3 linked regions of the Caenorhabditis elegans genome follow. The protein of the gene in region 2 interacts with the protein of the main gene of each other region in a pairwise test. Each region holds a gene or a part of one and is shown on either strand. Other genes may lie near its edges.

Region 1 (7,740 bases), on a different chromosome or scaffold from region 2:
GGAGTACTTTCACGATAAGAGAGCATGCAAATTCAAAAATGTAGACTTTCTGCCCAAAATAGGTGGTAGGTAGGCAGGCAGAAAATATATGCCTACTCTGTACCAAAATGACATAGAAATAGCAAGAACTCGGCCATCAATTTCATGTTGATTTTTTAGGCGGAAATTTCAGAAACTTAAAAAACGTTATCATATAGGTCAGGACTTTGAAGTTTTCTAGGCCATTCTGCCTGCTAAACCTCAATATTTTCGTTTTGAATCAAGTGACTCCATTAAAAAAGTTTTCCTTCCTCGCCGTGTTCCCACGAATCATGTTTTTTTTTCTCGCGGAATCATTTTTCCACCACTCACTACAAAACTCTCATTCTTACTATTTTGCGCGCTTCATTTTGATAATGCTCAATGTTTTGAAGATCGTACATATTGCAAATGAGCTCTGATTATACGTGTGCCTTTAAACAATTTATTCCGAACTATCCCTTTGATTTGTCCCGTCCAAAACTAATATAAAAATGTTAGTTTTTGTAACTATTTTGTGCTTCTTCCAGAAAAAAAACAACCACTGACTCAACGTGAACATTCAAAAATCCGGTTATCAGTCTTTTCTATTCTGCGTCTCACTTTCTATTCACATTGCCTCCTACCTCATTTCCTCCCTCGCTTCACTGATTACTTGTGATTATCTACGTCAGATTAGAAATGAAGATGCTGAAAACAAAAGTATTGAGAAAATTGATTTAAAAAACAATTTCAAATAAGACAATTATTTTTTCGAAAAAATTCTCGCTGATAATCTGTTCAGCTGTTCATATCAAATTCCTCTTCACATTTGACCTCGGAGCTCCTTTTTGCAGAAAAGATCTCTTTTATAAAAGAGAAAGAAAAAAGCCTGCCAGTTGTCACCCGATGCCTTTTTATCAAACCTTTCCTCTATTTTCCAGAACAAATTGTTTTTTCTGTTTCTCATAACATTGCCTTCAACTAGGAACATTGAATTTTTTAATTTAAAAAAAAATTAAAAATTGGGAAGTTCGGCCACCAATTTTTGTTCGCGACCACGTAGCAAAGTAGCTACATTGATGACCAAAATTTCTAATTTTTCTCCAATTTTTTGTATTTTCGCCGAATACAATGCTCATTCACCAGACAACAACGTGTTTTGTCTGCCTGCCGGTGGGAGGAATGCTTTTCAATTTATTTTTTGTAGTTAATCAAAAAAAAAGAAAAGGCGCAGAAATCGAGAGCAAACAGAAAGAGCTCTCCAACAATATGCTGTGCTCCACGCCTTGTGATTTTTTTTTCCTTTGGACAAGAGAAGCTGAAAAATGTCAAATGGTTGCTTACAATTAGGAGTAATCTAATTTCTAATAACGGATCCTTATCTAACTACAAAATGTTATGCTGACTCAACATTCAACCCGCACAAACCAATTTTTTTTTCGAAATTTTAGTTCAATTCATTGTGAGTAATACTAATAATATTTCTACGTGGTGCTAAGTACTGATTTTCCATGGACGTTTTGGAGCAATTGTGAGTTTCCTTCAAATCGTTTTCTTTATCATCTAGGTCGCCAAATTTTCCAGCTCGACGCGCCTCAAGTGACACCCCCTCTAAATATCATCCAATTTGTTTGTAGTGTTCACCTTATCAGTGTCATAGCCTCTAACGTGTCTCTTCCATCAGAAATTAAGCAATTTATTTGCAATTGCAATGTTTTACTTTCAAAAACAAAAAAGGCTCATAAGCGATCGATACACCCAGAGAAGCTCCTTTGAAGTTGACGTCATTCTTCCCCATTATTGTTTTCTTCTCTCCTCCATCTTCCAAAACTGTTGCTAATTTGACCCATTATTTCTGATTTCCATTCTTCTTCACTGCCACATGATGAGACCAGATTAAAGTGGGCGACTAACTACTAATTTTCGATTTTGTTGCGGAACGTTTTTCTGTCTCTTTTTTTGTTTCTTACCTTTTCTGATGTAAAGCCATGTGACCTTATAACCGCAACAAGTTCAGAAACTAGGGAGTAAATCTAATAATTCTAATAATGAAAATAGTCATTTTACTATCAGACTTTAAAACGAGACATGTCTTATTATACTAGAACTCTTTTTTAGTTTATGTAGGTTATCACAGGAAACTGCGAAACCCAACACCTACCTCCAGAATTTTTAATCTCAAAATTTTTCAGTGAATGTTGTTTTTAGGAGCCAGAAATGTTTTTTATAACACTTTTTGGGAATTGATATTTTCTCGGAAAAAAAATCAGAATTGTTTGGACTGTGTTGTGTGAAAAATGTTCTATCAGTTTTATTCAAAAAAGATTTCAAAAATTTTGCACTTCTCTGAGCAACATTTCAGTTATGAAGAGTCTGCAAAAATCCATTGTCGGGGTAATTCTGTGGTGATTAAAATAAGTAAAGTTCAATTAAAAATTTAAGGGATAGGTATTTTGTCGTTTAAATTTCTCTGATAATCCACTCTAAAAATACGATTCCAAATATGACCATCTTACTTTGAAGTCTTGTGGATAAACCTACATCCATTTGTTGCAAAACCGAAAAACGAAATGTTACGTGTAGTTTTTTGTTAACCTTGAGCATTAGTTTTCACACCCATGTGTTCCGTTTTTCAAAGCCCGCCTTTTTGAAAACCCTAAAATACATAAAAGATACCGCAAATAAGTGACTACCAACAATACATGTTTACCCATACTACCCCCATGTCTTCCAATTTCCTGTCGCTACACATTGTTTAACCATTCGCACGTCTTACCGTTTCATGGTGAGAAGTTGTTGTAGTTTATTACGATTTTGGAGCGTGTCCCATCATGGTTGACTCCCAGGAAGAAGAGTGACGTCACCAGGCGGCCACATCCATCCTTTGACAGAGGGTGAGGCTAGAAGGACAACCTTTAACATTACGATTTTCGCACCTGACCTTCTCATGCTCCTTTTCGCAAGCTGTCATATGGCTTGAGGATTTGTTTAGCTAAACTTGAGCACCTCCCTTCCTCAACCACGACAAACCGACACCTATCCCCCTCTTTTGATTTGAATATAATATATTCGTGTGCGTTTGTTTGTGTGCTTAGGAATATGTATAGGAAAGCCGCTAAATTTCTAAGTTTCGAGCATCAAATCAAAGAATTTATCTGAAACGATAACCAGAAATTCCCGTAGCCCGAACAGAACGTTTCCGCATCATTCACCCACTCCTGCTTCTTAGTCACAATGTCTGTCTCATCTTCCCATTTTCATTCAAAAGCTATTCGGATTTATAAGGATTAGTAAAGAAAGCTATGCTGACGAGGTGTTTTCTTCTTTTTTCATTTTTGTTGTATTTTTTATCGTGAAAATACAAAAATATGAAAAACCCTGAATTTTCGACAAAGTAAGTTGCACCACTTTGGCAGTGAACATGTTTTGTTATATCAAAAAATTTTACCTGAAAATTAGAAAAAAACCGTTGTACCATATATAGGGTTGTAGTTAATTATTTTTGATCTACACAAAATGAGCCAAGATAAATACGGTATTAATTTGAAAATGCAATCTTCTCATTTTATGATAGTGGCAAAGTTCTCTATTTTCTCGGATATTCTCGGTGGGTTGGAAACACTCTGTGCGATATTTGGCATATGTCGAAAATTGCGAAAAGCCGCACAGGCCTGGCTCTGGGAATGAATAGAATTAAACGCATGAAAGTCTTCTTTATATACCGTTGTTTTTCTTCCAAACGACTATTAAAATTATAATCAAACACATGTTCGTTTCCTCTCTCTTTTCCTCGATACCTTTTCACTTAACGGTACTAAAAGTACAAACATACATTCTTTCTCTCACAGTCAAACAGTTTGAAAAAGAAACAATGAGTATACCTTTCCTTTCCTCCCATTTTTTCTCTAATTCTCTTTCACTAGTGCCGCCCGTCCGCTTTTATCGTTTTTTCTTGAGGTTCTCCCCCTTGATTTTTCGTTTTCCATAGATCAAATTTGATAACCATTTTATCTTGAATCCTTTCAGTCTAATAGTTTTTATTTTCCAGATTTTCGAATGTTTGGGCTGTCAGCCGAATGAGCCCAACTCCAACTCGAAACTCCTCTCCACTTGATCCGTCGTGTGCTCTCAACGAGCTCGACTGCAATGGTCTCATGGTTATTTTAGAAAAGGTATGCCTTAACTTGTTCTTATTTCAAACTTATTTTAGTAATCGAAAAAATCGAATGGTAAAAATTGTAGAGTAAACATTGTGAAACAAAGAAATATAAAATGTTTTCGATTTTATTTTTTAGTATTGAATTCATGATCTTCAACTATTAAAACATGTTTTTTTCAGAAAAATCACGATCTTGAGCTTGCGGCTAAGATTGGCCAATCGTTGTTGGAGCAGAACAAAGATCTTCAGACAAAGTGAGTGTTTTCTAATTAAGCCCACCGAGTTCAAGTATCAATTACACTTGTTTTAATGACGAGTGGAGGGAAGATAGGATTAGTATGCGAATAAAAGTTCTAGAAAATAGGGACTATTTCCTTGTTCTAAAAATAAGCTCTAAAAATCAATGTTTTCAGAAATGAGTTCCTCGAGGAGAGTGTCAACAAGAACCTGGACACAATTGTTCAACTGAAACATGAGCTTAATCAACGAATTGAGCTACTCAGGGTCTACTCACATTTAGATGATGATGGTTTACCAAGGTAAGATTTTTGTTTAAAACTTTTCGACAAGAAAGAGCCGAATCACAGTTGGTCATTGTGTTAATATTCGTTGTGGAATAAACAACTTACTAAATTTATATCAAGCGTGGCGTGGAGATCAAAATCTTGTTCTCTTGCTTCTTCGTTTTTCAAAGTTAAAAAAACTCAATTGCAGGTCAAACAGCGACGAGGCACTCCGAGAACGGCTTAAATCCACAAAATCGGAAAACGAGAGGTTTGTCAAATAATCAAATAAGCCAGCGTAATTGATAGTGGGTGGGCGATCGAGTTCAAAATTGTGCAGTTTTTGGATAAGGGGAACGATTGATAGTCTAAAAAACAAAGATCCTGATAATGCCATCATTATTGCTCTCAGAGCCTCTCAAGCTCCGTTGCCACGAATAACTTTGGGTTTTTGGTGATTGCTCAACTGAAAATCCTATGTTCTTTTTTTTTTCACACTCTCACTTCACGCTCTTGCCGCTTGCAGGCTCACTTATGTTCTGAAGCACATCCATATGCTAGGAACGTGCTCTGACCAAAATTTCACATATTCACAATTTAAGACTTCGCCAAGAATGTGATCTTCTCCGGCAAGAATCCGCTATAGTCACTGCTCAGAAGAATAGTTCATACCTGCTAGAAAAACAGTTGGATTACACAAATGACAAAGTGATCAGCTTGCAAAAGTTGATTGAACAAAAAACAACAGAACTCAATCAACAATATGAGAACACTGGAAAGCTGATGAATGAACTGGCGGATAAGGATAAGAAAGAAAGAATGGTAGGTTCTTAGATGCTTTGCGAGCTGCAAGAAACGATTTTTTATTGCAGATCTCAATGGAAAAAGAAGAAATGGGTGCGATACTCATTGAGATGATCCAAAGACATGACACAATGCAAGCTGAGCACAAAGAGATGCAGGATCAATACGCGGAGCTCATGGCTAATTTTGCGGAAACTGAATCCGAGTTGAATAAGCTCAGAAGTACCGGGAACTTAAGAAGTAAGATTTATACAACATCAACTTGACTGAATTCTTCAAATTTTTCAGTGTCTTATGACTCTCTCTATGACTCCCTTGCGTCTGAAATGGAAAACTCCGAGTTTTCACCAGCGGGTCGCACAACACAATTGACAGTTCTTACGGGGAGAGATAGCTATGCAAATGATAGTGGAATTGATGCAGGTGGTCCAATGAGCTTGGCAGCTGAGATTGAACACTCAGAAAAGGTACAATTTCGACTTACACAACTCGAATAATAATATATTCTTCCAGTATCAAATTCCCTCGATCGCAGAGCCTATCTTTGCTACCTCATCAAAACTGGCGGCTCTCTGTGATGCGAGCACTTCATGCACAGATATCTATCGTGATTCTACTCCAACGATACAGGACGACGATGTCACAACTCCTTCGGTCTCTGGCATTAACGCACATTATGCTGAGGTAAAACTTATTAGGCAAAAAAAATTTTCAAAAAATTTTTTTTTAGACCAACCAACTTAGCTTCCCCAGCGAAGAAGCCGTGTCCACACCGATTGTGGCACGAAAGTATATCCCGTGTAGCAGCCCGAGTAAGAGCAATTTGAGCAAGTTACAACGGTTGCATATAGGTGAGTAAATTTTCTTATTTTGCGTCGATTGACATTAGTCATGTCTATTTTCAGGTAATCGTCCACATGCTCAAAGTTTCGATGTTCCATCTACAACTATTTATGACGCATCGTCTTACGCAGAGTCAAAACTAGGACAACCGGGAATGCCTGGAACTCGTGATCTGGATATCTCCTTGAAAGTAATCAAGGCTAGGGAAGAGGTGATTTGCACTTTAACCGAGCTTTATACTAACTCTAATCGGATATGTTAGTTTCAGGTGCAAAAAGAGTTTGCGGCGTTTTGTCAGCGGAAAGGTATCGATCAGCAACAGTTTTTCGGTTCTCAGGTAGTCTACTTCTTTCCTTTTCTATCAATTATCAAATGAGGGAGGTTTGAAACAAAGTTTTGATTATTGGAAGTCCAAACCTCCCCTCAAGTACATTAACTTTTCGGTAGCTGCCCTGTCATGTTAACAGTTTTTATTAAAATATTGATTGAAGTGCTTATCTAACCAAACTCTCTCATTACAGGACCGTCGTCAATCAAATGAAACATCATGGATGGATTTCAGTGCTGCATACGGAGTCAGAATGATTCAGAGTCTGAAACCAAGACATGCCGAACAGTCATTAGCATTGGGTCTCAGACAAGGAGTGTTGACGAGAGCAGAGGTAAGATATGAATTAAGTTTAAAAATTTGGCATTTATTACTTACAATTAGTAAAGAAAACTTTTGATTAATTCATGCATAAAAAGGAATACTATAGACAAACCAAAGGAACGGAATCACTAGTTTAATTGACAGTTAGAAATTAACTAACACTGACATTTTGCCAATTGTTTGGCACTTGGTATTAGTCGAATTTTCCAAAAGCCGCACATCTCTATTACAGACATTCATTTAAAATTGGAAATATTTCTTTACTAGGTTTATTTTGGACTATATTTTTGACCTCTAGAATTATGTTCTTTCTATCCAACCAAAATACTTGCCCGCCCCTCTTAGTAACATTTTTTAAACAATTGTAAATTCCAGCTTCTCACGTCTCCATCAACATCACCTCAACATCGAAGTTTATCACTCTCATTATCACCTGGAACATCTGACGGTGGTCTCACGAAAATTGGTGCAATCCACGGTGTTTTATCAAGAAGATAAAGGAAAATGGCTTTTACTTTAACAAATGTTTCCTCTCAATTTCTGAATACATGTACATTTTTTAAAATGATTCGATTTGTTCTACCCCCACTCCACCTAATTTTTGAATTGAAATTTCACTAATACTTATTTGAAAAATACTTAAGAAATTAGAGCTTTTAACTTGATTTTTTTTGTTTTTATTTGTTTTAAACAGCTAGAAATTTAGTGTCTTGAAATGTGTGTAAACCGGTTTTTGCTTTTAAGCCAAATGTTTGACTTTTTTGGAATTTAAATTGTAT
Region 2 (7,740 bases):
ATAATATATTCGAACGAATGCAATTGAATAAATTAAATTTTTTTTCTAAAAATCGATCGCGAGCAAAAATAGCAACGCTCCGAAATCCCGCAACGCGCGCTGTTTATCGTAAATGCACACCAATTTTTCTCCGCTGTTCTTATTATTATATATTAATTTTTCTCCGCTGTCCTTATTTTTTCAACGCATTTTTTGGTTCATATTTTAATTTCTCCAGATAATGAAAAGAAAAAACCAAAAAGAAGACAGCGACACGGAAAACGATGATGAGGTATTTTCATTTTACAAAAAGTTTACATTTGACTTATTTGTATTAAATATTCAGATTGAGCCAGCAAACGGAGACGGAATTGAACAAGAAATGAATAGAGTAACAAACGGAAATGAGGATGATGAATCAGTGAGTTTTAATCAATTTGTTTTCTTGGCGAAATTGAAAGCGAATTTTATAAAAAATCCTGTTTAATTTTTGACTTTTTGAATTTTTGAAGGTTGGCAATGATGTGGCAGAGCCTATGGAAACAGAAGACGTAGAAGATTCTGGCGAAGTTGAAATTGAAGAAACTGCGCAAAATGGTGAACGAGAAATATTTAAAGTGCTCGGAAAACAAGAAATGAAGAATTTGGAGGCACTAAAGTGAGAATAATTTAATTAAATATTTTGAATAGAATAATTCAATTGTAACTAAATTGATGATTTGCAGAGTAACGAGTTCCTGGGTTCAAAACGCCACTACTTTCTCAGCGACAATCGATTCTTCAACATCACAAAAACTTTCTCAAATTGAGCTTCCTGAGCATCTCACAGTCCCATCTGCAATTTCAACATGGTTTCCAGTTCAGTATGCCGTTCTTCCATCTCTTTTCTTTGAAATCCGATCACCACCACCACTACGTCCACGTGACGTGGCGATCGCAGCTCCAACTGGAAGTGGAAAGACAATTTGCTATGTGCTCCCAGTTCTGGCGGCTGTCGGGAGCAAACCATCCAAAATTCTACAAGCTGTTATTTTAGTACCAGTTCAAACACTTGTTGCACAAATTGTGGACGAGTTCAAGTATGTATTAAGTAACATTAAAATGTATGTTTTAATTCTGATTTTAAGACGATGGAATGACGAAAGTGGTGTTGCAAAAGTAGTATCACTTAGTGGAGCAAACGATTTTGAGAAAGAAGCTCGTCAATTGGCATCAGATCCTCCTAATGTTATCGTGGCAACTCCAGCGAGACTTGTGCAACACCTCACTTCAAAAATTCCACCTCCGATTGACCTTTCAAAATTAAGATTCTTGATTGTGGATGAAGCGGATCGAATGGGAAAGCTTATGAGAGAAGAATGGTTGGATTTAGTAGAATTCTTATGCGGTGGAATGGAACGAGTGGCTTGTTTAAAAGATATTATTAGACAAAGAAGAGCTCCTCAGAAAATTGTTCTGTCTGCAACACTATCGAAAGATGTGGAAGAGCTTCATCTATGGAATTTGTTCAAACCGAGATTATTTTCAGCAACAGCAGTTTCTGTAAAGGATGTGAGTGTTTTTAAAAATTATAAAAAGTACATCAGAATTCATTTTGATATTTTCAACCGAACCAAATTCGTTTTTTTTAAATCGTCATGCAAAATATTTTCGTTTATTTTACTTTTTACAATTTTCAGATCACATCTGGAATCCCTCAAGTTGATCATGTATCTGGTAGACTTGCCCTTCCTTCTTCAATCTCTCATCGCCTCGTTGTAACGGATCCAAAGTTCCATCCGCTAGCAGTTTATCAACAAATCACTAGAAATAAATTCAACAGGACTTTGATCTTCGTCAATGAAGTTTCATCATCAAATCGGCTCGCGCACGTTCTTAAAGAATTGTGCAAGGATCAGTTTGAGGTAGACTATTTCACGGCTCAGTTATTCGGAAAACGACGTTACAAAATGCTCGAAAAATTCAATAAAAATGAAAACCGAGTTCTGATCTGCTCGGACGTGTTGGCAAGAGGAACTGATTTGAACAAGGTTGATTGTGTCATCAACTACAATTTGCCTGCCGATGACAAACTATTCGTGCACAGAGCAGGAAGAACTGGAAGAGCTGGACAAGATGGATATGTGATTAGTGTTGGAGATAAGGAATCAAAGAGACTTTTCGTCAAAATGCTAAAAGTTACAAATTTATGGGGAGATACTGTAGAAGAGCAAATGGAAGAGTACATTTTTGAAAAAGATATGGATAGGTAAAAAATTAAAAATTAAACCTGAAATCATCATCAACATTTTTCAGATACTCAAAAGCTTTGGAAAGTCTCAAAGCAACTGTCTCGTCACAAGCGAAAACCGGAGGAAGCAGACAAATTGCTAAACGATCCGGATTTGAAGCAAAGAGAAAAAGTCGACCAAATGCTCGCGGAGAGAAGCCTTGGCTCAAAAAGAAGACGACCGAGTGATTCTATTTTTGTTGATTTCCTTTTTTTCTTGTTATTTTTATTGTTGAACTCAATTTTTTCATTGTTGGTTTTTTAAAGAATTACAGTTGTTTATTTTCATGAATATTCATTTTTTAAATATAAGTTTTCAATACTTTTTTTTCAATTTTTTACGGAGTGGTCTAGACAACCTTCTTAATACTTTGGAAATTCTAAATAATCAATTATACGCTTTTTTGCTCTTTTTCAGATGAGCAGCTCCGGGGTGATAACCCAATTGGTCACTGATGCCTTGTCGATGAATGCAGCTCAGGATTGGGAAGATGTATCTCTCTTCACACCTTATCTCAGTGAGCAGCCTTGGTGTTTTTTTTGCGAAATTATATAATATTTCCAGATGACCAAGCTCTCATGTACGATTTTGCTGATTGCCTCGCCGTTCAAACATTCCTTCGAATGACTTCATTGCCATTCAATGTTCGTCAACGACCGAATGTAGATTTTATTTCTCCTGATGGTTAGATATTGAAAGTACTGAAATCCTCGAATGCAGATATAATTTTAAGGAGTCGTCCCACTTCTGAAAATCAACAAAACTCTCATCACAGGGTTCAACGCCATTGTCGACTTCGTGCATAAGAAAGGAGTCACTCTTACATCACATCTCAGCGAAACGCAAGTTGCCGACATGAGAGCTAATATTTCGATGATCGAACATCTTCTTACCACTGTCGAGGTAATATTCAATGAAAAATTTATATATTAGACAATTATCGTCAAAATACTAAAAACAAAAAAAAAACCAAATAAGTCCCATCCCTGATTGTGCCACGTGGTTCCATTATTTTTCTAAAAGAATATTACTGTCAAAAAATAGAAAATCTGAAAATATTATTCATTTCGGCTGAAACATTTGAAAATGTTCTCAAAAATTGAATAAAAGTTGACGGACAAAGAAAAAACAATGCTTCAAAATCGGCAATTGACAACTTTCAGGGTATTTCCGAGAACTTTCTCAAATGATTCAGACAAAATTAATGTTAATTTCTATATTTTTATACAAATTTTAATTTAAAAAAATGATAGAAATTTGCCCAAAACAATTGCCGCTCGAAATATATCTTGAAATTTCGATTATTTTTCTTATTTTCAGAATTTTGTTAAATTATTTTATTGTTAAAACTAACGTTGGTAAAAATTTAGAAACTGTTTCCTAATTTTTTTAGGATTTTTTCCGAAACAATCAAACATTTTCGGTTTTTGATTATCTATTAAAAATGAAATAAATTGAAATTAATATAGCTGTTTAACTTTTAATTGAATTTTTTCAGAAGTTTGTACTCTGGAACCACGACGAGACGTACGATAAGGTGACAAAGTTGAGATACGGAAGTGTTTATCACTGGCCACTTTCGTCTGTCTTGCCTTTTGTTAAGCGTCGAAAGATTCTTGAAGAGTTGTCTGATAAGGACTGGGACACCAAGGTATGTAAATAGGTTATTTTTGAATTTCCCTTAAAACTCCTTTCTTTCAGACAATGGACGAAGTCGGTGAACAAGCCGATAAAGTTTTCCGTGCTCTCTCTGCTCAACTGGGAAGTCAAAAATATCTAACTGGAGATCTTCCAACCGAAGCTGATGCTTTACTCTTTGGACATATGTACACATTGATAACTGTCAGATTGCCATTGACAAACATCACAAATATTCTGAAGAAGTACTCCAATTTGATTGAATTCACGAAAAGAATCGAACAACAGTATTTCAAGCAGTAATTTTAGAATTTTTTCGTTTGAGAAGTGTATAGTAGTTCAACTATGATTTTATGGTGTGTTCAGATTGTTCTTAAGAAAAACGAATAAATTTTGATAATATATGTTTAACAACTTTTTAGAGTTACGCGATAATTTTTTTTAACTTGAAACATGAATATTTCAAAGCTTCAATATAAGATCCAATGAAAGAAAACTAGAAAAATAGTTATATTCTGTGGAGCTCGAATTTACGGTTATGATTCTTGTGGTTGCAATGTTTATAGATGTCGTTGTCATCACTTCTGGCTCTTTTTGTACATTTGACAAGCTGGCATAATTGTTCTTTTGACAGTTTCTCTGTATAGCTTCAAGTTATTTATCTTGACTTTTGCCATTGCCGTCTTCTCCTATATGTTCACACTGTAATAGCTAGTGAGTTTTAAGTTGTTAGTGATGTATGAAACCGCGTCATAAGTATACCGAAATCAATCGACAAGTGTGAAAGAAAATGTTGTATTAAGACAACATTTGTATTGATAATCAGCTTAAATATTGTATTAGTGAGGGTGATCTTTTAATTATTTAGTATTTCTTGCATAATAAATAGATTACTAAATCTATTCCTGAAAAATCAAGAAAAATCAAGTTTGAAAAATTTCTCATATTTGAAAAAAACGCAAAAATAATCGAATACAGAATGTATATTGAAAGAAACAACACCCATCGACTTTTTTTTTGCGATTTGTATGTTTTTTTAGAATTTTTTACTATTTTCCTTTAATATTTTCATTAATGCCTAGGTAGAACAAACACCTATAAGCATCGTATTCATCATTTTCAAAGATTCTTTATTTCCATTAGTTTTCATAGAAATGAAATAAATATTGACAGGGACATTGATTAGAACATAGCATACAATGAAGCCAAAATAGCAAGAATAAAAGAGTTTGAGACAGTTGCACCAGTCGTCTGTCCCCATGGATATCCTCCAACAACATCTTTACAATCACCATTTGGAATGGAAATACTTGGAAGTGGACTTATTGTTGGGATTGTGTTGCAATTTGGATCGACCCAGCACTTCAAGATTTGAATGATTTGGAATCTGGCATTGGTAACTGTATTTGGATCACAGGTGTTTGGTTGACGGAGATCGAGATGATGAGCAGATCCAGGAATTTCCAATACATAGATTCCACGAGCAGCATTGTTTTGATCAACTTTGTAGCCACCTCCGGACCATGGATCCAGGTGTCCTTGACTGAAAATTAAAAAAAAAAAACAAACAATTTTAAAAACATGATCTAACAATTTGCAAGAAACAGTATTTTTCTGTTTTCAAAACCATAACTTCAACAAAAGTTTTCGTGAAAAAAACCTTACGTCAAAATCAAGTTACTTGAACCAGAAAGATCATATCCGTAGAGAGTTTTCACTGCGTCGATGTTCCAGTTCTTTGGTGTCCATCCCATGCTGAAATTTATTTGTTTTGATTTTTAAAAGAGTTGAAGAATATGCTGTATGAATGTTTTCAAAGCTTCAATATTATTAAAACCTAGTCGGAAAATGCCTCAAAAAAGAAACCTAGGATCTTTAAATCTGGAACCTTTTAAAAATAGAAACACATCCTTGTTGCAATGTTTGGTAGATATCCTTTCCACATTCATTCCAGAAAACATCATTAGATCCTCCACTAGCACACATTGCCATTATAATCTCTGAACATTCTTGCCATGGCCATCCCAATTCGTCTCCTCCAAGACCACCAGTTCCTTGATCTCCACAAATTGAAAAATCAATACAATATGTGAAATTAGGATCTCTGTTATAGTTGTAATAAATATTAGCAGCATTTGCAACAGCTTTGACTAAATCTTTATCACTGAACGATGTTCCATTAGCATTCATATATCCACATGCAACTGTCACTGGCCATGCTGGAAGAGGTTCTAGGAATCCAGTTGGATATGGATAATCAACCATTGCCATATATTCAATTGCTTCTCTCAAATACGCATTCAAATTCCAACCATCTGTTTGATTCCTAATTTTAGTTCTTGGGTCTAGTTTGAACACGGTGTTGTTGTTGAGCCATTGTCTACCAGCATCTGGAAAATAATTGTACCAGTCAATCGAATTTTTCTCCTTTTTATACCAGTGCTAGAAAGATTAAGGGTAGCATTCCAGGCATTTGCAAGAATAAACCTATTGCATCCATTGTCAATGTAAGTTCTTGAAGTGATATGGTCGAAAGCTCCTGGATCAACACCACCTCCGTTCATGTAAATCAATGGAGCAGATCCTGCCCAAGCTCTGAAAAATTAAAGCAATACCATCAATTGTAGATATCAACTCACCCTTTAACAATATGTGGATACTTCTGTCTAAACCATGCAGACAACATTCCTCCATAAGAACCTCCAAATGAAATAACTTGTGTTGCAGCAGGGAACGTCATCTTGAATTGATTATTGTCTCTTTTCAGTTCAGTCAATAATTCTGCATAATCAGCCAGAGCCTGTTCACTTGTCAGATATCCAACATTTGCAAGTGATGCATATGATTGATTTCCGAATGGTTGAGTCTGTCCATAGAATCGATGTTCCGCAAAAATAATAGATGCATTGAACATTGGAGCCAAATCGAACATCATTCCAGTTGCAGTAACGAATGATTCAAGACCTCCTTCATTTCCAGTATAGAAGAATATTGGACCACCTGGTTTGTAGAATGTGTTGTTCCACATTACTCTGAAATTTACGATTCCGGATGTAACTTTAAAATACTGGCAAAGGTGTGCACATAAATTTATGATAAAGTTTATCAGCTGGAACGACACAATCCAATTAATGCGACAAAAACTAAATTTATAAGATTTAACTGAAATTCCCTACCTCATATCGAAGGTTCTGGTGTCCCCCCATGTGAAGTGGTCTAATTTCATGTTTTTGTACCAGACAGTCTGTACATTTGATGGTGCTGCATCATAGTTTGAAGCTTTTTGGTAGAGTTTCTGTAATTTTTGAATTGAATTGTTTTGGAGTTCTAAAATATAATGAGTATTCTACACACATGTGTTCATTTCATCATCTAGAGCATGATGTCCTTACCTTGAATAATCGACTTCTCCTACTTGCTTCTACAGAAACTAGAGCGACTAATAGAAGGACTAAAAACCACCGCATGTTTCGGGGCATAGAACAAAAAGTGAAAATGGCTCGCTTCCACAAAATTATTGAAATTGATAAGAGAATAAGTGTAGGATTGCAGACAAATTGGATTATGAAGAGAGAGCCATTGATAAGGATGGACGGTGCGAAAGCGGCCGAAAAGGAGTGAACGGGACAAAAATCACATTTTATGAGTCAAATATGTTTATGAAATACTGGAGTTTTATGTGGTTATCAGAGTGGTTCATTAAGGGAGTGTCAATGCCAAACTGATTTATCGCAGTTGTCATTAAAAATGAATTCAGAACGTCCCAAACTTATGTTTTGGCAGATTTTTTGATACGTTGCTGAAATAAGCAAACGATAAAGGTAGTTTGGTTTTTCAAGAAGCAGAAGCAATT
Region 3 (7,740 bases), on a different chromosome or scaffold from region 2:
ACTAAAATATCATGATGTGAAAATTTCAAGTCGTTAGAGTCATCTTGAGCAAAGTTATGTCTGTTTGAAGTTTCAAGAGGGGCCGCGACGCGACCGCAACGCACGTTGAAAATTTTAAGGGATCGTAACTTGGCTCAAAATTATTTTTGAGGCCTGAATTTTTATTTGACAGCTTAATGCTACATGATGATTATTTTAACACGGAAAAATGTGGATTTAGTATTTGCACCGAAAATGCGCCAAGGCACGAGAAATGCGCCAGCAATTTAATTTTGTGAGATTTACTAAATAGTGCAATGCATGGAAAATTGTGAAAGTTTCAAAGCTTCACGATCATTTTAAGCCAAGTTGTGGCCGTTTGAAGTTTCTGGTCTGACCGCGACGCGACCGCGTCGCATGGCCCAAACTTTGAATAGTTGTAACTTTGTTAAAAATGCTCCTAGGGCTCTGAAATTTTTTGTGTGAAGTATTTCATTTATTCTCAATCAGGTGATTTATTTTGGAAAGGAGCTTAAGAGTTCAAACGCGACGCGACCGTGTTGCACTCTGTAAACTTTAAACTGTTATAACTTTGCTCAAAATTGTCGTGGAGTCTCGAATTTTTTTACCCTATTCACAAAATTTTCTATTCACAAAATTTTCTGCAGTAAACTCTTGTTTCCAGAACCCTGCAATTTTCCAAACATTTGCCGACCGTCAGATCAAAATGTTCGAATACACAAATGCACTAACCACCCGGCTTAGTAAGTTGGAATTTTCCAGAAAAATCAATAATTCATTGAAATTTCAGTGCCTTTCATGAGTTCTGCTCCGTTTTTAATATTGACTGCTCTGGCTAATGTAACTTTTATTTTCACAAAGTGAGTTTTAAAGGCGAAATTATCTGAAAATCTAGTTTTTTTTCAGTTTGGGCTCCTTAATAGACACATACTACTACATTTGTATGATTGGATTAATGATTTGTTGCATTATAATTTCTTCTAATTTGATGTATCCACCAGCTTTGGTTCAAGAAGCGGTAAGTGTTCACTAACAAAACTTCCGTAACTCAGTTTATATGGCTCTGGGAGCTATGATATGCATTTTTTTGGAATCTGCGTAAAATTTTAAATTTGATGAACTAAAAGGTGTGAACTTTTAGAAAAAAAAATTTTTTTAAGATTTTGAAAATTTTCGAAAATATTTTTTTTGAACAATTTTTTTTGGAATTTTTTTTCAAAATTAGTAAATATTTTGATTTCTAAAACCAAAACTAGTAGAATTTTTTGAAATAAATCAATTTCCAGATGCTCCACACCTCCACAGTCCTTATGGACGACCAGTATGTCCATCATTCCAAAGATCCACAAATCTACACTACCTACCGCAGTATGGTGGATCGATCAATCAATAATCGCACAGTCAACCTAGTTGTCCAAATTTTCAGTGTGAATCGGAAAAATATTGAGAGAGCTTATTTTGTTATAACTAATATTGTGTTGCTTATGACCGTGTTTTATAATATTTTGGATAGACTTCCAGTTGTGAATTAATAAAAAGTTGATGTAAAAATTGCTTAAATATGTTTTAAAAAGTATCTACAGTTGTATTAAAAGATTTGAAAATTTTCGAAAAAAAAATTTAAAAAAAAATTTTTTTTTTTGAAAACTCGAATTTTTGGAAATTGTCTTTCTAAAATTTTGATTTTTAAAATTTTATCGATGTAAATTTTCATCCAGATTTCAAAAAATTGCGTTTCGTAGTTTTTGGAGCAATATGAACAAAGTTAGGGTAGTTTTGGTACCTGAAAATACTCTACATATCTAACCACTCCCGTTATCAAAGTGCATATTTCCGCCAATATCAAAGAACTTTTTCATCAACTATCAATGAGAATGTGGGAGGTTTATGGCTTCTTTGATGTATAATCTGATCAAAAACTTCTTCAAACACACATTTTTTCTACATTTTACCCATTATAAATAATTGCACGAGAATTGCGCCAACGCACGGAAAACGCGCAAAGACACGAGAAATGCGCCAACTATAACTATTTTATTGAATTTCGAATAAATAGTCGTCATAAAAAATTTCAAAACTCTAAGACAATTTTGAACATAGTTATGACCATTTTAAGTTTTATAGTGCGTTGCGGTCGCGTCGCGGCTGCTCTCAAATTCAAAGTGGCATAACTCACCTTAAAACGGTCCTAGAGAGTTGAAGTTTGAACAGTGGCCTTTTGGTCAAAATATTTATCTATATATTTGAAATTTTTGGTTTTGGACCTTGGCGCATTTCTCGTGCGTTGGCGCATTTCTCGTGAGTTGGCGCTCTTTCAGTGCGTTAGTGCAAATTGTTAAATGCGTTGTACTAAATGTTATTTCATAAAAACTTTAGAGTTCTAAGACAACTTTAAACAAAGTTACGGCCATTTGAAATTTTAAGGTTGCGTTGCGGTCGCGTCGCGGTTGCTCCCGAAAATTTAAAACGTCATAACTTTGCTCAAAATTATCCTAGAAATCAGAAATTTTAACTGTAAGATAAAACCAATAGTTTCTACCTTTGACAAGAGTTTGGCGCCCTGGCGCACTTCTCGTGCCTTGACGCTTTTTCCGTGCAGCCGCTCAATTTGTACTTTTTGTAGTTTCTGTTGTCTTCACAGGGCGACCCGATCAAAATAGAATACATTGATACGGTGATGGCCATCACGTTGTTCTTCTTTCTCCTTATCTGTAGTCTATTGATCAATAGCTTGGGGAGCGTGTGTTAGTGGCGGTGGTGGTGTGTTTATTATATATGTACTTTTAAAGAAGGTGATGCAAATTTGTGAAAAAATTTTAGTGTGAATTAATATTATTATGACTTTAAATTTTTTAGAAAACTTTGAAACCAAAAAAATTTTTTTTGAAAATTTTTTTTTGAAAAATTCCTAATCTCAAATTAACTTTTTCTAACATAATTTTACACAATTTGCTCACATTTCCAGCCTTTAGAGCACATAAAAACAGCACCTGCATGTGCGCTTTTATCCCCTTTTTCTCTAAATCTCCTCTATTCTGTTTTTTCTGTTTTTTTTCTGCTGTTATCCATTGATTTTTGATCAATTATGGGGGTTTTGAGTTTTTTTTTTGAAATAAAAATAGGTTTTTATTATTATTCTTCAATAAAAAATTTATTTAAAAAAATAATTTTTCAAAAAAAAATTTAATTTTTCTCTGAAAAATTTCAAAATTTCAAAAAAAATTTTTTTGCAAATTGATTTTTTTTTATGATTCTAGTATTATTTTCCTATTATTTTCATCATTTTTCCCCCGCAATTTTCCTTGATTTATCGATTTTTAGCATAAAAATGGTGCGTGGGAAGTGTATGGTGTGTGACTCCCCGAATGCTACAAACTACCATTTTGGAGCACAATCCTGCAAGGTAAGTGCTCAAAATGTTGGGAAATTAGGTTAATATATTTAAAATACACATTTAAAAATTTTCAACAAAAAAAAAAAAAAAATTTTCCAAATTTTCAAAAAAAATATTGAAAAATTATTGAAATATTTTCACCTTTCGAGACCCAATATTTCCAGGCTTGTGCTGCGTTTTTCCGTAGAAGTATTGCCATGGATCAGTGCTACGAGTGTCTCGGAGATGGGGTACATTCCTGCAAAATTGACCACAGTGAGCCAAATTTCTCCCCCCAAAAAAATTAAAACCTGAAAATTTAAGCTCTCCGCCTCAATTGCAGGCATTGTCGACTTAAAAAATGCCAAAAAGCAGGAATGATGAGGGATTGTGAGTTGATTTGTCGATGCACCATGATTGCGCCAGTGCACTAGAATTGCGTCAAGGCACTAGAATTGCGTCAAGACCTTGAAAATTGAATAAAGAAGCTACAGCTCAAATTTCAAGTCTCTAGCATCATTTTTAACAAAGTTACAACGTTTTGAAGTTTGTTAAGCGACCGCGATGCGACCGCAACGCCCTGTCCAAACTTCACTACTTTGTAACTTTGCTCAAAATTGTCCGTTAGGCTTGAAAATTTATTTGTGGACGTTGGAGAACATTTGCATTATGATTTTTAAATGCACCAAAAATGCGTCAACTCACGAAAAATGCGCCAAGACACGAAAAATGCGCCGACCCCCGAAGTCTTTGCGAATTGGACATTGGCCAATTTTACATAGAATATAAAAAATTTCAGAGCCTTAGCATCATTTTGAGCTTAGTTATGACGACTTGAAATTCTCCTCCCATCCGCGACGCGACCGCGACGCACCACCTAATTTTCAAACCTCCATAACTTTGTTCAAAATGATCGTCCAGGCCTGAAATTCAAACTCTAGTTTTGCAATGCAATGCTTCACATATTAAAGTTAATATAAATAGCCCGACCGCGACGCGACCGCAACGCACTGCCCTAATTTCAAACTTCTATAACTTTCCTCAAAATGCTCCTAGAGCTCTGATTTTTTTTTCAGTGGTTCAAGCAAAACGAGAAATCAAATCTGATAAAGGAAAAAACTCGAGAAATTCTTCACAATCCGAAGATTTTTTCTCTCCGCCACCTGAACAGCCAGGACCTTCAAATTGTAAGTTTCGAGAGTTTTCCACCAATTCAGAGCTAAATTTCCAGATTTCGATCAATTCCCATGGCAAGCATCGGAAAACGAAATGGATCCGTACCCATCGTCACCAAAAATACGGAAAATGAGTGAAAATCTGATGGGAATCGATGAGCTCCAGCAATTTATTCAAATTCCCGCCGGTGTCGACGATTTTCCGGATATTTTTACGGATTCTGATGAGATTCGATCGAGAATGACGTCGATATCAGAAGCTTCTGGTGAATTTTAAATTTGTTAGAAAGAAGATTTTGAAAAAATAAAAAATAATTTTTTTTCAGTTTTGGACAAATTTTTTTTTTTCAAAAAATGAATTTTTCAAGAAAAATTTTTTAATTAGACTTATCTAAACTCAAATTTTATCCTGAGCTTAAAAATGTGCATATTTAAATTTTTCCTACACAACTAACAAAGTTACGGTAGGTTTTGTATCTGGGAAGAATTTCGAAGTTATCGGAAATATGTCATGATTATACTTAAATTAACCGGAATTTAGTGCTGAATTTGAGGAATATTAGATTCAGACAACCTATAAACTAGTTTTCAGGAAATTTATAATTTTTGAAACTTTCGAAAAACATTTTTTTTTGAAATTTTGGAAAAAAAATTGTTTTCGAAAAAATTTTTTAATAAGAAATATTCCAAAAATATACTCAAATTATCCGGAAAATCATGAAAAATTCAAAATTTTATGTTTCGAAGCATTTCCAGCACTAAAACCCTTCGAAATTTTCAGCCTACGTCACTGGAATGGAGGAAGAAGAGAGGTTATTCGGATTGGCCGGTCTTTACACGGAGCAAGTGATTAATTTGAATATGCGTAGGCGGATAACATATACCGACAGGCTTTTAGGATCAGTTTTCGATGCTCCGTGTGTTTGTGTGAGTTTTTGAGTATTTTTTAAGGAATTTGTTTTTTTCAAAATTTCAAAAAAAAAATTTTTTTTTTCGAACATTTTAAAAATTGCAAATTTTCCGAAAACTAGTTTTTTAGGCTGTATGAACTCATATTTTTTGAATTCAGCACATAATCCCAGTCATTTTTCGTATAATCATGACATATTTCTGATAAACTTGAAATTTCGGATCACTGTGTTAGTCCAGCTGCAAAAAAAACTACAGTAACCCTGTCAGGTTTCTGTTGGCACTTTTCATATGCTGGTTTTCAAATTTGGAATAAAATTTGGGTTCGAATAAGTGTAATTTTGTAGTGTTTCAGAACAATTTTTTTTTTGAAAAATTCAAAAAAAAATTTTTTTTTTTTGAAAAATTGAGATTTTAGTAAATAAATTTTTTAATTAAAAATTGTTGATGTTTCTGTTTGAAAATCTCTCAAAATACGAGCTTCAGAAGCTTAATCTGAAAGTTTTCCAATTTTTCGTTTTTTCAGCCGTACGACAAAGCTGATCTGAAACTATTCGACCATCGGACCTATCGGCAGAAGAATCGGAATGATTATACAATGATTTTAGATTATATCAATCGATTTCCAGAATTCGAGAGTTTGTCCAAGTCGGAGAAGGTGGGAACTTTTTTTTTTGGAAAAAAATTTCAAAAAAAAATTTTTTTTCGTCCAATTTCTAATTTTCACCAAAGTGCTATACCCCGATAAACCGATTCAAAATTAGAAAAAAAAAACATTTTCTACTGTATTTTTAAGTCCTTAACCCGTTTTTCTTAGCTAAAACTGTCCAAAACTTCAAATTTCCTTCCAGACCGTCCTATTTCGAACCGCCGCCGCAGTCGACGTGCTTTTGGACCAATCCTATTATAGTCAAGTGTATGTGTAAAAATGGAATCCGGGCAGGACTAATGGCCAAAAAAACTACTCTTAGGATACTAAACTGACCAATGAAACTTTTCAAAAAATAATGAAACTTTTCAAAAAATTTGGATTTTTTTAAATTTCGAATTTTTTTTTTCCAAAAAAAATTTAACTTGTATCTGATGTTTAATCTAGTTTAGCATTGGAATGACCGTAGTTCAAATTTAATACTTAAAAAAACCCTACTACTTCCAGAATCTTCCCGACAGAAGATGTGCTAGTCACCGCAAATGGCGAGTACCTTCCAATGAATCCAATGCCGAAGGTCGAAAATCAAAGGGACAGCGGGAATTTCCATTCGGATGAGGATTACGATAGGTTCAAGTCGGTGAAAAACCCCGTCAAGCTCTGCATATCAAGCTCCATTTTTTGCAGAATGCTCACTTCGATGAAGGTCCGGCAGTGGCTTCATGTTTGTGAACCGATGAAAAAACTGGACATGTCGCTGGCCGAGTTTTCATTGTTCAAAGCTCTGACTATCTGGCACTATAGTGAGTTCAAGCCTAAGCCTAGGCCTAAGCTAAAGTCTAAGCCTAAGCCTAAGCTTGAATCTACTCCCAATTATAAGCTTTAGCCTTCGCTTAAACCTAAGCCTAAGCGTAAGCCTAAGCCTACACTTAAGTTTAAACTTAAGCCTAAACCTAAATCAAAACCTAAGCCTAAGCTAAAGCCTAAACATAAGCCTAAGCCTGCGCTTAAGCCTAACCCTGAGAATAAGCCTAAGCCTAAGCCTAGGCCTAAACCTAAGCCTAAGCCTAAACCTAAGCCTAAGCCTAAGCCTAACACCCCCTATTCCAGACTACTACAAACTACAGTGTACCGGCAAGCAAATATGCTCCAGACAACGAGATGACATTTTCCGAACTCTTCTACTAATTTGTGATGACGAGGGTCATGACAGCGCACTTATCCGTGCATCGGAAATTGTACTGGCAGTGGGGATCGCAATGGCCGAGGTTCACGAAATGGTGACGTCATATATAGAGATTACGGTGTACGATGTGTTGGATGATCCGATTTTGAAGGATATGCTCAAGTTTCAGTATTGATTTGTTTTCTTTTTTGTTATTGTGATGTTACCGGTCTTGTAAATGTGAGTTAATAAATTTGTTCTCAAAATTCCATGTCGATGCACCATGATTGCGCCAATACACGAGAATTGCGCCAAGGCACCAAAATGATGTCAAGGAAGCACTTATACTTTCTAATCTAAATAGTAAAAATTTCAGAGCTCTAGGACCATTTTAGGCCAAGTTATGGAGCTTTGAAGTTAGCATGATAGCCGCGACGCGACCGCAACGCAGCCACACTTCAGTGAATCC

The links.
Region 1: the proteins of mtx-2 (region 2) and trak-1 interact in a two-hybrid assay, tested with the Caenorhabditis elegans proteins (one large-scale study listed by BioGRID).
Region 3: the proteins of mtx-2 (region 2) and nhr-79 interact in a two-hybrid assay, tested with the Caenorhabditis elegans proteins (one large-scale study listed by BioGRID).

What each region holds. Positions count from the first base shown.
Region 1 is NC_003279.8:6,119,074-6,126,813, forward strand, and holds the start of trak-1 (HAP1 N-terminal domain-containing protein), read left to right. Parts: upstream 1-4,048; 5' UTR 4,049-4,076; coding exon 4,077-4,172; intron 4,173-4,339; coding exon 4,340-4,413; intron 4,414-4,572; coding exon 4,573-4,698; intron 4,699-4,873; coding exon 4,874-4,933; intron 4,934-5,264; coding exon 5,265-5,484; intron 5,485-5,534; coding exon 5,535-5,706; intron 5,707-5,754; coding exon 5,755-5,933; intron 5,934-5,979; coding exon 5,980-6,150; intron 6,151-6,196; coding exon 6,197-6,317; intron 6,318-6,371; coding exon 6,372-6,520; intron 6,521-6,571; coding exon 6,572-6,646; intron 6,647-6,830; coding exon 6,831-6,971; intron 6,972-7,336; coding exon 7,337-7,459; 3' UTR 7,460-7,740.
Region 2 is NC_003281.10:7,758,530-7,766,269, reverse strand, and holds mtx-2 (Metaxin-2 homolog), read left to right. Parts: upstream 1-2,666; coding exon 2,667-2,766; intron 2,767-2,813; coding exon 2,814-2,933; intron 2,934-2,982; coding exon 2,983-3,152; intron 3,153-3,747; coding exon 3,748-3,900; intron 3,901-3,950; coding exon 3,951-4,190; 3' UTR 4,191-4,293; downstream 4,294-7,740. Other genes in the region: Putative ATP-dependent RNA helicase ZK686.2, read left to right, coding at 221-271, 326-400, 492-637, 705-1,058, 1,107-1,530, 1,659-2,227, 2,275-2,437; Putative serine protease pcp-1, read right to left, coding at 5,070-5,430, 5,553-5,642, 5,776-6,277, 6,325-6,482, 6,527-6,919, 7,064-7,182, 7,280-7,354. UniProt on the Caenorhabditis elegans protein: Involved in transport of proteins into the mitochondrion.
Region 3 is NC_003283.11:19,207,477-19,215,216, reverse strand, and holds nhr-79 (Nuclear hormone receptor family member nhr-79), read left to right. Parts: upstream 1-3,321; 5' UTR 3,322-3,328; coding exon 3,329-3,403; intron 3,404-3,558; coding exon 3,559-3,649; intron 3,650-3,697; coding exon 3,698-3,763; intron 3,764-4,449; coding exon 4,450-4,560; intron 4,561-4,604; coding exon 4,605-4,814; intron 4,815-5,329; coding exon 5,330-5,475; intron 5,476-5,983; coding exon 5,984-6,115; intron 6,116-6,308; coding exon 6,309-6,373; intron 6,374-6,613; coding exon 6,614-6,742; intron 6,743-6,793; coding exon 6,794-6,909; intron 6,910-7,148; exon of another isoform or gene 7,149-7,202; intron 7,203-7,216; coding exon 7,217-7,467; 3' UTR 7,468-7,531; downstream 7,532-7,740. Other genes in the region: srr-2 (Gustatory receptor), read left to right, coding at 665-743, 791-860, 907-1,018, 1,287-1,532. UniProt on the Caenorhabditis elegans protein: Orphan nuclear receptor.